Linked DNA regions of Arabidopsis thaliana. The protein of the gene in region 2 purifies or fractionates together with the protein of the main gene of each other region. This does not show direct contact. Each region holds a gene or a part of one and is shown on either strand. Other genes may lie near its edges.

Region 1 (8,031 bases), on a different chromosome or scaffold from region 2:
AAAAGAGTTCGCATCATAAGGCAGACTCCAAAATGGAACAAGATGTGAGTTTCTTTTCTTTGCTATTGAAGATAATTTGCAACATCTTTTTAAATGAAATCACCAAACTTTGATTAAAAATGTTTTATCTTGCTTTTGTATTTTCCTTGTTAAATTCTGCAGAACAATAGAAAAGCATGGATTTCACAACCGAGTGGTCTTAACTTTGTTTGGGGAGGTGACTCGAGATATTGGGTTATCCCTAAAGAACCAAGGTATCATCCGATTCATTCCGACTTAACCGATAAACCCAACTTTGGTTTACTGATACCAAAAATCTTAAACTGATTCATTTGATTGTTGGTTTTAGGATGCCTGCTGAGCTGAAGATGGTGAGTTGGTTAGAAGTAACCGGTTCATTCGACAAGATTGAACCCGGGAAAACATATCGAATCGGTTTTAAAATCTCGTTTAAACCGGATGCGACCGGTTGGGACAAAGCCCCTGTTTTCATGTCTGCTAAAATCGGGAAGAAAGGCAAGACAGTGTGGAAAAGAATCAAATCCGTTAGCCAGAACTTTGGTATACTGAAAGGTGGATCAGAACCCGTCAATATACCTGACGAGTCCGATGGCCTGTTTGAAATCTTGGTTAGTCCCACAGCGCTTAACCAAGATACTAAGCTTCAGTTTGGTCTGTATGAGGTGTGGACTGGACGATGGAAGACAGGTCTGTTGATCCACGAAGCCTTTGTTCAAGAAGTGTAAGGGGGAATATGATCATTATTGATTTTCATAATCCGAACGCAAATCTTATACCTCGTTTCAGTTCAAATATAAGAGCTTTAGATCATAACAATGTAATCTTATATACCTTTCTTGAACAAGTCTTAAAGCTCTGTATGATAATCTTCCGGTTTGAACCATAACGAGAAATCGATTCCTTTCGACTTCAAATTCTCAGTTGCGGGTGCAATTCTTTCCAGAAGCTACACCGATTAAACAAAAAATATGTGAGACCTGATCTCTAAGCACAACAGATTAAAAGCATTGATAAAAGTATGAACAGTTCATGAAACCTTGGGGTGAAGAACGCCGTTGGAGACCAAAACAGACCTATCAAACACAGAAAACTTCCCTCCGTCCATCCGAGTCACAGCTCCTCCAGCTTCCTCAACTATCTGTGTCCATTTTCTGACATGGATTAAGCTCTACAACTTAAGTACTTTAGTAAGAAAAAAACAACAAGAAGGATGAAGAAGACTACAAGAACACCAGCAGCCATGTCCCATGGCTTTAAACGGTACTCCCAATATGATTCCGCAATCCCAAGTGCAACATGACACATGTCAACTGCAGCAGCACCGAGTCTTCGCACTCCCCGACTCACATCAGTAAACTCTTTGAACAGTTCCATGTTAGTGCTCCATGCATCATCATGTTCATAACCAAACCCTGTGATAAGAAGTGCTCTCTCCACCTTCATTCAAACCCGAATAAATATCTAATAAACCAAAACCATTGAACACACCATGTCGAAACTTAAAATTGGATTCTTGATAAGTTACTTACAGCATCGGTCTTACTGACATGAATTTTTTGCCCGTTACACAATGCTCCACCACCTAAGAAGTGAACTAGTTAGACAAAATTTAGATATATAGCCAAACATAAGCTTGTCACATAGTACCTGCAGTTGCAGAAAAGGTTCGAGTGTTCCAGCACATCGGACCACCGACAAACTCTACCTGCATGATGAGATTTTGTTGTTAATCCTACTGACCAAAGAATCAGCAAATAGGAACTAACAAGCATTAGCTGGTTTGTGCAAGTATATATTGGATTTACCACAGAAGCAGCGGCGGGATTTCCACGATACAGAACACCGACGGAAACAGCAAAACTGGGATATCCATGAGCAAAATTTGTAGTTCCATCTATGCATAAAGGAATTAAGAGACTAATACTAAAAATCTCAGAGATTCCACACAAACACATGAAAAGAAAGCAATGAGATTTGTAAAGAGAGCTAAACCTAGAGGATCAATGCACCAGAGGTAATCAGAAGACGAATCGCCGATGATACCTCCTTCTTCACCAAGAATAAGATGATCACTAAAATTCTTCTTCACTACTTCCAAAATAGCAGCCTCGCTTGCTTTATCAGTACTGCAAATTCATCAAAAGTACTAAAACTTTAATAGCTTCAACCAATCAAGTCAACATGAACATAGTTAAAACCTCAAGCTAACAATTTTAAAAGGTGAAGAAGTCCTTACTCAGTTACTAAGTCACTGAGACCTTTATAAGTAATATTCCTTGGCTTATTTACAGCTTCCATAACCACCTAACAAACCAGATGATTCAATTCAAGTTAGTTTTGTTATTATTCTCCTTGTGCAGTTGTGCCCTACGAACCCAAGAACTTGATTCTAGTACCATTGAACACAATTTCAAGTCTCATCAAGAGTTTTTGTTTCCAATAAACATAAATTCAGATATTGTATTCTACAGACATGAAATTTCGAACCTCAGCGCCGGTTTTAGCGGCGAGTTCAACGACTTCAAGGAGGTGTGCCGGAGATATAGTTCCGGTGGTTTTAGCGCCGATTCTGGGATATCGCGTCTGATCAGAAACCTCAGACAGAACAGCTTTGGTTTGAAGTCTCGTTGTGGACTTGAAGCTATTAGACAAAATCCTCGTACACCGATATCGGAAAGTTCTGTTCACTGTCCGGCCTGAAATTGGGTTTTGCAGCGGAAGAGATGATCTGGGTAAGTGAGAGATTCTCAATGACATGTTTCCAGAGAATATTAGAGACCTTCCCATTGTTGGTGTCGCCGGAGAATTTTCGAATTTTTGTTGTTGTTCGGTTTTTGGTTTATATGAACGCGGCCAAGTGAACGGATGGTGGACATGAGAGAGTCCAAAAAGCTGATAGAACTTAAAATTGAAATTAATGAGAACATTGAACCAAAATCAGGTTAACAAATAACCAGAGATAACCGGTCTCTGTAGTATACTCAAATGGTTAGTTTTTGCCGATGGTGGTGCCCTAAACTCGAAAAAAAGATGGCGGCGTTTTTGCAAACTAACATCCGTCTGGAGATCATACCGGGAAGATACAGTTCTCTCACCGATCATAAGTTTCGTGCGCCGTATCGAATTAGGTGCGCCGCCGCTTCACCGGTGAAAAAACGGTATAACATCACTCTGCTTCCCGGCGATGGTATCGGTCCAGAAGTTATATCTGTTGCTAAGAATGTGCTTCAGAAAGCTGGATTTCTCCAAGGACTAGAGTTTGATTTCCAGGAGATGCCTTTCGGCGGAGCAGCTTTGGATTTGGTCGGAGTTCCATTGCCGGAGGAAACTTCCACTGCTGCTAAACAGTCTGATGCCATTCTTCTTGGAGCTATCGGAGGGTATGTGTAATGCGTGTGTGTGTTGTTTCTTCAGCAAATTTATTCTCTTTATGATGATTTTTTGTTCAGGTACAAATGGGACAAGAATGAGAAACATCTGAGACCTGAGATGGGTCTGCTTAACATTCGAAGAGATCTCAATGTCTTTGCTAATTTGAGACCTGCTACAGTTTTACCACAGGTATTGATTTGCTTATCACTTTGCTTTCTAGTTGTAAATATACTCAAATTTTTCTGTTTTTGCTTGTTCAGCTAGTTGATGCTTCCACACTGAAGAAAGAAGTAGCACAAGGTGTTGATATGATGATTGTAAGGGAGCTCACTGGAGGTATTTACTTTGGAGAGCCAAGAGGCATTACGATCAACGAAAATGGCGAAGAAGTCGGTTTTAATACAGAGATCTACGCTGCTCACGAGGTACTACTTACTCTTCACAATCTGCTGCTCTGTGACAATGTATGTGTATTAATGCATTGCTTTATCTTCTTCAGATTGACAGAATTGCTCGTGTTGCATTCGAGACTGCTAGGAAAAGGCGTGGCAAGCTGTGTTCTGTTGACAAAGCCAATGTCTTGGATGTATGTTTTGAATTGTTTTTCCACTCCACTCTTGTGTGTTTTTCGTTATACAATTATTTTTTTGTTTTGTTTCGTATAGGCATCAATATTGTGGAGGAAAAGAGTAACAGCTTTAGCCTCTGAATATCCAGATGTTGAACTATCACATATGTATGTCGATAATGCTGCGATGCAGCTTGTCCGTGACCCGAAACAGGTGATCTTCGCGCATATATAAAGCTTAGCCGTTGATTAAGCTAACACAGAAGTGGAACTTGTAGTACTCACGGCATTTTTAAAAACATTATTGCAGTTTGACACAATCGTCACCAATAACATTTTTGGTGATATATTGTCTGATGAAGCTTCAATGATCACTGGTAGCATTGGGATGCTTCCATCTGCAAGTCTTGGTGAATCGGTAAGTAAGACTAAATCTAATATTTCAAGGTTCCTCTGTTTATTATTATCATATATTGATTGTTAAACTTGTGATGAAAACTAGGGACCTGGACTCTTTGAACCTATACATGGTTCAGCACCAGATATAGCTGGACAAGACAAGGCAAACCCATTGGCCACCATTCTCAGTGCGGCGATGCTTCTCAAGTATGGACTTGGAGAAGAAAAGGCTGCAAAGATGATTGAAGACGCGGTCGTGGATGCTCTGAACAAAGGTTTCAGAACCGGAGACATCTACTCCCCCGGAAATGTATGTGTATGATGATTTCTGTCTTTTGTTTTGTATAAGTTAATGACAATATACTTAAAGAAGTCTTTTTGTGTTTTGAAAATGCAGAAACTGGTGGGATGCAAGGAAATGGGTGAGGAGGTTCTCAAATCAGTGGACTCCAAAGTTCCTGTTTAAGAAAAGTGTGTAGCCCTTGGTTTTACTGTTACTTTTTTGCTAATACATGTATTAGAAACTGTATTCTTGTAGCTTTTATAATAATAAAATATTTGGGATCGATTCTGCAATTCAAAGACAAAATTCTCCAAGAACATTTGACAAGTCTCCTGCCTCAGTACCTTGTTCTTGAAGATTGAGAAGTTCTCGCCAACTACAAAACTCAACATCTTCTTCAATCAATATTTGTTAAACGAATAAAGTTTCAAGAGAGACAAGAAACTATGTTTTTTAGCCGCTAGAGTATTACATTTTTCTACTGAAAAACCAAACTTATAAAACATAACATTTATAAATCCGAAAACAACTATCAATCATCAGGTTAGCCTTTGGATTCACGACGACTTATCAGATTTGCGTTCAGCGTCTGCGGCAGACTGCATTTGAGCTGCATATGGTAAGTTCCAGAGAACATCTTTAAAGGAAGTCTTGCAGAAGGTTCAAGCAAAACACATTTATTGGCGATTGAGATGGCAATTGGGTAAAGACTCCTGCGAGCTTGTTGTTAGGACCGTTGGACTTCCTATTTTCTGTCGACAGTCTTGGCTCCCAAATGACGTCTGCAAATACAACATTGCAGCAACAGCTATTAACAATGATGAAGATTTGCTTCTTTTCTTTACCCTATATGATACCATTTCGTTGAGAAGATAGGCCTCTCCTTTTTGTAGTAGGTACTGGTCCTATCAGAGATTCCAGAAGTATGAATCCAAAGTTGTACACATCGCCCTCTGTTTTAGCCATTTTCCTGCATAATTCCAAAGCTAAGAAACGTGATGAATCGAAATCGTCTGTGGCTTCCTTTAACTCTTCAAAAGAAAATGACCGGAATGAGGGCACACCTTGTGCACCTAGCTTTGCTGCTTGAGAGATTAACCCTGCAAGACGAAGTCGTACAAGGATATTAAATTCCTGAAAGACAATTGCCACCAGGCGGAGGTCTACAATTTGAGTCAAAGTTACTCACTTGCACTAGCAAGAACTTCGGAGGAGAGACTGGTGTGTGAGTTATCTCTGTCACAACCTTAAGCCGAGTTTGAGGCACTGACCTTTCTCTTGAACAACAGCAAGAGCAGCGGTTTATACACACAAGAACAAATACATCTCCACCAAGGACAGCAACCAAAATCCCAATCTTTCTTCCTTGGAACTGTTTTCCCTCAGTTTCAGCCTCTTCGATTACGAATTCTTGATGCTGATCATGACTGCCAATAATGGAAAAGAAACGGGGAGGGGTCCCAATTAATCTGTTATTCGACAAATCCAAGTTTGCCTCCACAGGTCAGATTATGCTGTAGCTTCCCACTGAGCTTGTTAGATGCAAAGTCTAAGTAACTAATGTTTGGCAAAGAGAACAAGAACCGAGATGAAGTTCCAGTCAGATGATTGAACGTCAAGTCAAGATGCTGAAGCTGAGACAAACAACCAAAACTTCTGGTAGTAACCAATAGACCTGAGGCTGTTGATTGATCACACTCGAAACCTCATTGAATCTAACATCTTACACAAAAACAGAAACAGCCTTATTTCTGAATCCAACAACAGCTGCCAAAACTTGAAAGTAGCTAACAAAAGGAAATGATTCCACCACAATGGCTCCTGCTTCAGTTCAGAGCAGCTTATAGAAATCTGAATAACGGATTCTTGATTACACAATTCATTATACCAAAACCATATAAAGGATTACTACAGATTCAACAAAAATTCACAACCTTCCTTAAATCATTCTTCTGCCATTTGATGATGAACATATTCAAATTCCCAGAAATATCCATCCTTACTATCTCCAACAGATGCAGAAAAAAGAATCAGAATTTTAAAACCCTAATTTTACCAATTACGTAGCTCACAAGATCCAAAATAACCTTTCGCCGACAACAACAACAAAACCACCGTATCTAACGCTGCTCAAACTCTCGCTGATGGCGAGAGAGACAGAGAGAAAGTGAAAGCTGAGCGTATTCGCACTGTTTACGCTTAAGGCTTGTTCCGCCGCTAGAGCAAAGAGACCTCACCGCCTCTGATTCCTCCGGACAAGCCTCCGCCACCACGCACTCCGCAAACGCCTTGTTCAAATGTCTGCAACCGGATCTCCTTGCCGGTCCTTCCGGCATCCGACGGTGGCACTGCAACAACGCTTCCTCCAACCGATCGCAAGATTTCATCGGAATCTCTCTGATTTTTCCGGTGTGAATCCGTCTCATCTCACGATGTAACTCACTAGTTGGGTTTGGGCTTTTGTTTTGTAAGCCCATATTTATCTCTTTGTTAATAGAGTCAAACCCACTTTTTTAACACACATTATATCATTATATAAAAACAAAATAATTAAACAAATTCAAAATATCAAATTAAATTTATTAAAAAATTAATGCTAAATTTAAAATTGAATATGTTATAAATACTGGAAATTTTGAACAAAAAATTCAACTAGCAAAATATACATAAATGAGCAAAACATAAGAAAAATATATGCAAAACATAAGAAATAATGACAACCGGTAGAAAATGTAGTTTAAAATTTGAGACACTAAAATTAAAAGAGATGATTCTTAATTTCCAATTAAAAAAAATAAAAATAAGTGATTTGCTTAGACAATGATGTTATTTGATCTGATATTGTCTGCGTAGAATGTTTTCTTTACAATAACAAATTCAGAGTGACGCTTACAATACAACTTGATGCTACAATCTTTAGTGTTTTGGTTTTATACAAACTAGTAGCAGTATTTACAGAGGTCTCATTTCTCATGTCCTCGTCTCTGAAGGCAACCAACCAGAAATCACGACATATAGATAAGTAAATTAAAAGTAAGGTAACTATTTTCCTAATACATTTTTTGTTTTTGTTTTTTACGTCATGTATTATTTTATCTATTTGACACATGTCCGGTTCTATCACTTACTCAAAAGTCGAAACTCTTTTGAGAGAGCTAGTTCTCTGTTTTTTAATCCGTTTATATTTATTTTTATTCTACTAATTCAAGAGAATCCATCTAATTATTCAAGAGAACTCCCGTTGAAAATGTTCTAAAGAATTAAACTTCCAAATCTGGCCCAAGTCGTGAGTTGACTAAAACCGATTTCTCACATATATGAAGATTTCGTACATAGTCATTTTCTCGTGAAACAAAATAATCGTTGGAAAAATGTCCTCCCATCAGTA
Region 2 (8,201 bases):
TGACCTCCTTCAATATATCCAACTGTAACCACCTGAGAAACATAAAAAAACCAATCTCCGCTGATTTCAGCCAAGATTCTGATTCATCAAACACCAATGCTTTGAAAGTGGAAAGCAAACTTACACCAGCTTCGAGTGGATCCAGTTCCCGCGAAACAATCTGTTGCAAGGCAACAACAGCGGAAGAAGCTGCAAGAACCGGGTCTTTAGAGAAGTGCGGTGTAGCTGCGTGGCTACCTTGACCGTGAACCGTGACTGTAAACAATCCTGCACCTGCAAGAACGGTCCCAGGCCTAGAACCAATACCACCTGATGGGATCGATGGAAAGACATGAACACTGAGTATCCCATCTAAGTCGTCTAGAATCTCGTCTTTTAGCATTTCATAAGCACCTGCATAACCTTCCTCGCCTGGTTGAAACACAAGTTTTACTGTCCCCTGTTGCAAAAAAATTGTGTTTTCGTTCAAAACCCTCATAAGATTCACCAAACTCTCATAAGACACACACACTAACAACTCTAGAAAACACACACACATAACAATTAGCAATCAAAGACATACACACACATATATCTAAGAATCTTAGAAAACACTAACCCACATCGAAATGAGTTTTAATTGCAGGGCACAGACAGAATCATTCAAAATTATACATATAAATTGAGTGAAAGAGAAAAAAGAGAGACCTTGATGAGGTGTTTTGTGGTTTGAAGAAGCTTAGCAGCACCAAGAAGCATAGCAACATGAGTATCATGACCACAAGCATGCATCTTTCCATCTACTTTACTTTTCGATTCCCATTCCACTAATTCCTTTTTTTGTCCCCATTTTTTCAAATTCATTAGTCAAACAAAGCAATCTAAAAATCAGAGTAAAAATCGGAACTTTGATTATTAGATTTCAAACCTGTAACGGAAGTGCGTCCATGTCGGCTCTAAGTCCGAAAACAGGTTTCGAACAGGATCCGATCCAAGCGACGACGCCAGTCTTCGCCACAGGATACTTATACTTCACTCCAAGCGAGTCAAGCTCGTCTCGAACGAGTTGACTCGTTTTGAACTCCTGAAACCCTGTCTCTGGGTTCTCATGAATCTTTCTCCTAATTCCTCTCATCCACTCGAAGAACTCAGGATCCTTGGCTGAATGAAGCATCCCGCGAGCGAGTGACTCGAGACCCGAACCAGAATCGTAGCTCCCAGCTGAAGACAGAGGAGGGAGAAAGAAGAAGGTAACGAAGATGACAAAGAAGCTCCCTGAGAAATCCATTCTGATTTCTTTTGTTTGTCGATGTAAACTGGCAAGTGTCAATGAAAGAAAGGACAACGGTGAATACGATGATGATGAAGGAGAAGGAGTTGGATCACCGATCCATTTTTAATATTTATATAGTACGTAATTTACACACGTTTTTGGAAACTCTTTTAATCGTTTTTAAATACGTATACGCCTCTAATGTGAAATTCATAATTTATGGTTGTAATGTGAAGAAAATAATGAAATACCAAAGATAAAATATGAAAATGATACAATGTAGTATATTTACGGTATAAAAGGAATATTTACTTGAAATGAATTAGTACGTTTAATACACGATTTTACCATTTATGTTAATGAAAATTAACACTTTTAAAATAAAACATGGCATGAATTAGAGTTGTGAGAATCACATGTAGGCCTTTAAGGTTCTTAAATTTTTAATTCCTTATAACATAGGCCCATGTATTTGATTGACATATAGGCCATTGGGTTCTTCGACTTTTAAATTACTTATAACAAAGGCCCACCTATTTGAAGCGCATTGTTAAACATTTTGTTTATATTTTGATTATGATCGAAAATTCTCTAGAACAATTCGTACAAAAGAAGCTGTTTACGAAAGTAGCTGTACATGCGAACATAATCAATAAAAATGTAAATGACTAATGAAACATCAGAATATCCGTACAAAATTGTGACTTTATATTATTTAGTTATAGGTACAAAGTTGTGGAGAGTAAAAAAATAAAAAAGGTAAAAAGTTGTGGAATAGACCTATGAAACAATCACAAACATACAACCAAAATGCAAATTGTAATTACGCAACAGAGGCTTTCTTTTCAAGGAAGTCAAGTGTAAGATTTGCAAATGCCCCAATTATTATTTGAGAGAAAAAGGGATATTGCTAATCACAATTAACGGTCACATTACAATTCCCTTTTTTCTCTGTTATTTCCTCTTCTTTCACAATTAAGTTCTTAACGGTCACATAAATATTTTGTTTTTTATATAATGAGTTTAATTAAGTTGAAGAATCAACTGATAAGGTTGATGATCCGATCCTCAAAAGTATACTAACCACAACACTGTCTACGTTCATGTTAGTACCTACTTCAAAGTCCATGTACGTTGGGACTGGCTGTATCTTCCGCCGAGAGCAGCAGAGAGCGTCATCGCTGTCTTGGAACGAGAGAAAGGTCGAGACTATCTCTAAGGCAACCAAAAGCTTAGCTATGATGAAGACATCTTTCTCTCTCTCTTTGCCTATGAATGGAGAATACAACAAATAATATAAAGTGATGGACATTTCTATGCTTTGCTTCTCTTCTCCAAAGAGAAATAGATGAAAAAGATTGTTGATTTTCGTTTCTCTCGAAGAAGAAGAAAGAAGAAGAAGGTGAATAGAGACTTTTGATTTCTCAAGAATGAACAAGTAGATTGTAGAGTGTTAGTGTTTAGTTCTGTTCTTAGGTTGCAGAGATTGTGTATGTGTGGCGTTTGATGTCTCGTGTTGGAGAGGTGGTCTCGTTTAGAGTGTTAGTGTTTAGTTCTGTTCTTCTGTTGATCTGTGTTTTTTTTAAATGTAAATTACACAAGTATGCAAAACAAATCTCTTCTCAGAAAGGGGCTACTGTTATATCATGAGATTTATAAGACAAAATGTAAAATATCGGAAAAATAAAACAACATAATTTTGGTGTTGAATGAGTTTTTCTTGTCCACACAACGGCAGAAGCAGTAGACGATTGTTCCTTTGTCTCTTGATCACAAACCGATTTCAAAGTGTTCTTCGCATTTTTCTCATCAATGTAAGTGAACCAGCCAGAGAAAGACAAGTATGCACCAATATCATTCCGGCCCCATATTCAGAATAAATTAGAACATCTTTTTCCTTCCGTGTTATGCACTTGTTCTAAAAAAAAAGAATTCCGGCCCATATTCAGAATAAGGAGTCCAGTCCAATAGTCTCAAGTCCAAACCCGACTCGGGTCTGTCCGACCCGGAAAAGAGAACTGATTACAGAATGCGGGTTTTGTCAAGAGAAAGTTGGATGATAAAATTGAGGTGAAATCTAATCTTCAAATGATCATTGGTTAGCTTTTTGTATAACGGATTTTCTGAAATCCTCTTATTTCCCATATCGGACCGTGATTATTGGGTGATTTCGGATGCCTAATTGGGTAATTAATATAATACAGTATAAGATTAGATGCCTCGAATATTCGCTCTGTGCCTAACCACAAAAACCGTAACTTTTGGTTTTCTCTGAAACACATCCCAAAGTAAAGAAAGCATCACTCTTTTCGTCTTCTCTCGAAAATGGCGGACAATGGTAAAGTCACGATCAATCTCTGCAAACCTTATTTGATTTCCCTGTTTCCTCATTTTCTTTCGGGCGACATTGATTTGACGCAGATTCTCTAGATCAGTTTTTGGCTGCCGCCATTGATGCCGCTAAAAAAGCTGGACAGGTCTATCTTTCGATCTCCTTGAGTTTTGATCGATATTTTGGCTAATCGTTATTTAATCTGGCTCCTTTTGGTTTGCGTTCTGCAGATCATTCGTAAAGGGTTTTACGAGACTAAACATGTTGAACACAAAGGCCAGGTTTTTGTTTCTTTCCTCCGCTCAGATAATGTTTCAATCACTCAATAAGTGGGAATGGCTACTTAAGAGTGTCAATTTTTTTTTTGAAATTATCTTCTATGGCTCCTTAAATTGTTGCTTTTAGGTGGATTTGGTGACAGAGACTGATAAAGGATGTGAAGAACTTGTGTTTAATCATCTCAAGCAGCTCTTTCCCAATCACAAGGTGGTGATTATTTCTTCTTTTGAATTCCCATTTTGTTGGCTTCTTCCTCGCGTTGATCATTAGAGTTTTGCTATAATTTATTAGTTCATAGGAGAAGAAACTACAGCTGCATTTGGTGTGACAGAACTAACTGACGAACCAACTTGGATTGTTGATCCTCTTGATGGAACAACCAATTTCGTTCACGGGTATTATCATTATTGATCAATTCCCATTTGAATGACCTGTGTGTTTCATTTGCCCATTTCATCAAAAACAAAAACAAATGCTGTTTTTTTTTTGTAGGTTCCCTTTCGTGTGTGTTTCCATTGGACTTACGATTGGAAAAGTCCCTGTTGTTGGAGTTGTTTATAATCCTATTATGGAAGAGGTAAAAGATTGTGTATTCCATTGTTTCAAGTTTCTTCGATCGTTACAACTTACCATTATACATAGTTTCCTTGATGGTGCTCTGTACATGCATGTTTCAAGATTTTTCTCAATTCTTACATAATATCTAATGATCAAACAGCTATTCACCGGTGTCCAAGGGAAAGGAGCATTCTTGAATGGAAAGCGAATCAAAGGTTAGCACTTGTTCTAGAGACCTAATAAAAAATTTCTTGATCTCTTTTTATGGCATCCGGAGTATAGCTATCACTTGTTCAGAGACTTGAGTTCTCTTCCTTCTTTTCAACTCAAACAATGTTCTTTTTGCAGTGTCAGCTCAAAGCGAACTTTTAACCGCTTTGCTCGTGACAGAGGTAAAAATCTGGCTCCTTTGTGTTAGACTACTAAAACTAGATTGCTATGAAGCCTCCTCTCATCGCTAATGTGACCAATTGAATATAGGCGGGTACTAAACGAGATAAAGCTACATTAGACGATACAACCAACAGAATCAACAGTTTGCTAACCAAGGTAAAAGTTTATCGATAGATATTTGGAACTCCACCAATTTGGTTCTAGTCTCTGCCAAAACTCATGATTGTTGTGTCCTTCATTCATCAGGTCAGGTCCCTTAGGATGAGTGGTTCGTGTGCACTGGACCTCTGTGGCGTTGCGTGTGGAAGGGTTGATATCTTCTACGAGCTCGGTTTCGGTGGTCCATGGTAAATTGTCTTCTTTTTTTTTTCCTTGCTTGGATTAAAAAAGGGGATTTCTTTCTTGTACAAACAAAATTAGATCCTGATGATGGCATAATAATATCAAATCTTTCACAGGGACATTGCAGCAGGAATTGTTATCGTGAAAGAAGCTGGTGGACTCATCTTTGATCCGTAAGAGTTTGAGATTAAACCAAACACACTCACTCTCAAACCGTCCAACTGATTATAACTAACTGTTTTATGTCGTCTTTGTTCATCAGATCCGGTAAAGATTTGGACATAACATCGCAGAGGATCGCGGCTTCAAACGCTTCTCTCAAGGAGTTATTCGCTGAGGCGTTGCGGCTTACAGGGGCATGAAGTCATCTGTTATTATTTTACAATATGGTCTCAACCTTATATGATCAAACTCAATTCAAAAACTTAACATTATTGAATATTTCTTTTCGGTAGAAAGAAAACAAACTCAATTGTTGAGAAAAAAAAAAAACTATTTTCTTTCTGCTACCCTTTGTGAATTCAATTAAAAAAAAATCATATGTTTGGTATTGAATGATATAATTCTGTTCTTCCATGTAGTTGATCTTTGTAATCGAGTTTGCATTTTTTTTTTTTTTATAAAAGGTGGAGTTTAAGGTATTTTGTGATCCATACTAAATTAACAACAGAGGAAAATGGGGATAATGAGTCCGGCCCAGTTACGACTAACGACCCAGAAGCATCCCGAAAGTCTCAAGTCTAATCCCGAGTTGGATCGACCCGACCCGTAAAAGAGAAGAGATTGCGGAGAAGAACGGAGGGAGGAATTTTGATTCTCACGGTGACTGTTGTCCTCCTCTAAGGACTTAGGGTTTGATTTGAATAGAACAAATTTCTCAGATCTTCGTATTCCTTGCGAGGTTGTGATAATTTGGGAGTTGCGTGGGTTGCTACGAAGGAGAGTGATGGATGCTCAAGCGAAGAAGAAGGCCATGTTCCGGTCTAAACTCAACGCCAAGAAGAAAGACACCCGCATAGATTCTCCTCTCGTTAGGTAAACCGTTGTTAGCTTCTTCTTCTCTTCGTTTCGATGTCACTTCTGGGTTTCTACAATTCCAAATATTTGTGGGTTCTGGGGATTGGGCTTGAGCTGTAGTTGGGATGAAGAGTTTGTTCTTTGGATTTGTAGGTACAACGAATCAGACCAGCCTGTGTGTCGAGTTTGCAATGTCGTCTTGAAATCTGAATCACTCTGGGATGTACATCAAGCTTCTCGTAAGCACCACGAGGTAAACTTAGTGTCTTCTGCTCCATAAGCTTTACTTCACAATCTCTTATAACCTGAGTAACAACAATGGGATATTTGATAAATTACATACATTGAAGATAGGTAGATTTCATGCTCTTATATGATTTTATGCGTTAGATTCTCTGTTTTATGTTCTTTAATCTTATTAACTTAGCTTTCGTAATGTAACGTTTGGACAGGCCATTGATAGTCTCAAGGCTAGTGCAGCGGGAGTCCAACGGGGTAGCAAACCTGCTGAAACTCGGCCAACGAAAATTGAAGCTTTGGCTAAATCATCCAATTCTCAGACATCATCTGGTCTTCCGCCAAATTTCTTCGAAAATCGTGAGCCTGCTAGAGGTAATGACTAATGCACTTTCCTCTTCTTGTTCTTATCTTTTTCGAATAATTTTCTTAGTAGAAGGCTTTTGGTTTAGGTGCTAGTTATGTGGATGCCATGCTTAAAGGCTCTAGTCTTAGGTTTTTTGAAAGATTGATGATAGTTTCATTCGTCAATCGAAAAAAAAAACTTATTGATCAAATATATGTGCAGCAGAAGTAGAACCAGCAAAATCCAAGAATTTAGAGCAATCAAAGCACACTATAGGATCTGAAACAAATAAGTCAAAGGGACCTCTTCCAGCCGGATTCTTTGATAATCAGAAAACTGATTCTTCAAATACCAAAACCACCAGTGAACCTAAACAGAGTCAGACACAGACCACTGGTCCAGAAACAAAACCAATGGTGAATGGAAACCTTCCAACCGGTTTTTTTGATAATAAAGAAGCTGACCTGCTTGCCCATGGAATCAAGCTCGTCAAACCAGATATCAAGTGAGTTTCTTCTCTTTTTTTTTTTGTTGCTTTTACTTTTCCAGATGCAGAAAATCAAAGTGAAACCTCATTGTTGTGGACCTTGTGATCCAGTTACTTTCCTACATTCTCAATTTGAATGGTTCATATGATCTTATGGGTTTGTACCTAAGAATTCTCTTCGTGAACTTATATAAACATGGATCTTCTTACAGGGATGAATATAAAGAATTTGAGAAGTTGATACAAGATGATTTGCAGGTAGTGGATAGCCGCATGGAAGAAGAAGAGGTCAGATAACTTTCTGTCACTATGATAAATTGCTGACAGTATCATAAGCTCTTTCTTAAACTTAAAATCGCTTTTCTCGCACTCTAATTGTCAGGTTGATGCTGCGGAAACTATAGAAGAGGAGGAACAACGAGAGCAAAGGTAATTTGATTCATTACTTTGTTATAGCAAGAAGATGGAAATGTTGAGACTTGTTTAAGATTAAGTAAACACTTGGCTTCTCCTTTTAATCTTATTCTGCAGATCATACAAAGAGAAAGTAGAGATTCTGAAGAGGAAGAAAATGGAACTTAAAGCGGCAAGATTAGCGAAGCGCAGTAAAACCTCTGAGGGGTCTGTTAAAAAGCCGAAGAAGACAGAAGAAGAATCGCCCAGCGATGAGGAGGATGACGAGGATTCTGCTGTTGATTGGAGAGCTCAACATCTTTGAATAAACTAGAAAAGACTGTTTAAAAATCTGTACCCTGGTAAAACATACAATGTTCTATGAGAATATACAGTGAAAACTAATCAATCTCATATATATACAATTATCAGTTTCAGAGGATCAATTGGTATTTGAGGTATAGTTATCGGTTAATGGGTATAATTCAAGAACGTAATTTTCATAACCAGAGTTGCCAAAAAGGCCGAAATATCTGGGGATGAAACCTGAAACTGTGGCAGTTCC

Evidence for each region. The genes of interacting proteins can lie anywhere in the genome.
Region 1: the proteins of VTC4 (region 2) and IMD3 fractionate together in Arabidopsis thaliana (co-fractionation; one large-scale study listed by BioGRID). This does not show direct contact.

What each region holds. Positions count from the first base shown.
Region 1 is NC_003070.9:11,139,638-11,147,668, reverse strand, and holds IMD3 (isopropylmalate dehydrogenase 3), read left to right. Parts: upstream 1-2,951; 5' UTR 2,952-3,006; coding exon 3,007-3,401; intron 3,402-3,470; coding exon 3,471-3,582; intron 3,583-3,653; coding exon 3,654-3,818; intron 3,819-3,892; coding exon 3,893-3,979; intron 3,980-4,058; coding exon 4,059-4,175; intron 4,176-4,271; coding exon 4,272-4,379; intron 4,380-4,463; coding exon 4,464-4,670; intron 4,671-4,757; coding exon 4,758-4,826; 3' UTR 4,827-5,208; downstream 5,209-8,031. Other genes in the region: PP2-A9 (phloem protein 2-A9), read left to right, coding at 351-746; IMPL1 (myo-inositol monophosphatase like 1), read right to left, coding at 869-967, 1,058-1,159, 1,246-1,458, 1,551-1,603, 1,669-1,726, 1,827-1,915, 2,014-2,147, 2,258-2,325 and 1 more; AT1G31175 (cytochrome C oxidase biogenesis Cmc1-like protein), read right to left, coding at 6,764-7,120.
Region 2 is NC_003074.8:625,059-633,259, reverse strand, and holds VTC4 (Inositol monophosphatase family protein), read left to right. Parts: upstream 1-3,334; 5' UTR 3,335-3,577; coding exon 3,578-3,590; intron 3,591-3,673; coding exon 3,674-3,729; intron 3,730-3,814; coding exon 3,815-3,865; intron 3,866-3,989; coding exon 3,990-4,070; intron 4,071-4,154; coding exon 4,155-4,258; intron 4,259-4,355; coding exon 4,356-4,440; intron 4,441-4,581; coding exon 4,582-4,636; intron 4,637-4,769; coding exon 4,770-4,813; intron 4,814-4,901; coding exon 4,902-4,970; intron 4,971-5,060; coding exon 5,061-5,161; intron 5,162-5,272; coding exon 5,273-5,329; intron 5,330-5,418; coding exon 5,419-5,518; 3' UTR 5,519-5,748; downstream 5,749-8,201. Other genes in the region: ILR1 (Peptidase M20/M25/M40 family protein), read right to left, coding at 1-32, 125-439, 688-813, 908-1,267; AT3G02860 (zinc ion binding protein), read left to right, coding at 6,103-6,191, 6,327-6,426, 6,626-6,785, 6,979-7,261, 7,456-7,531, 7,626-7,672, 7,775-7,961.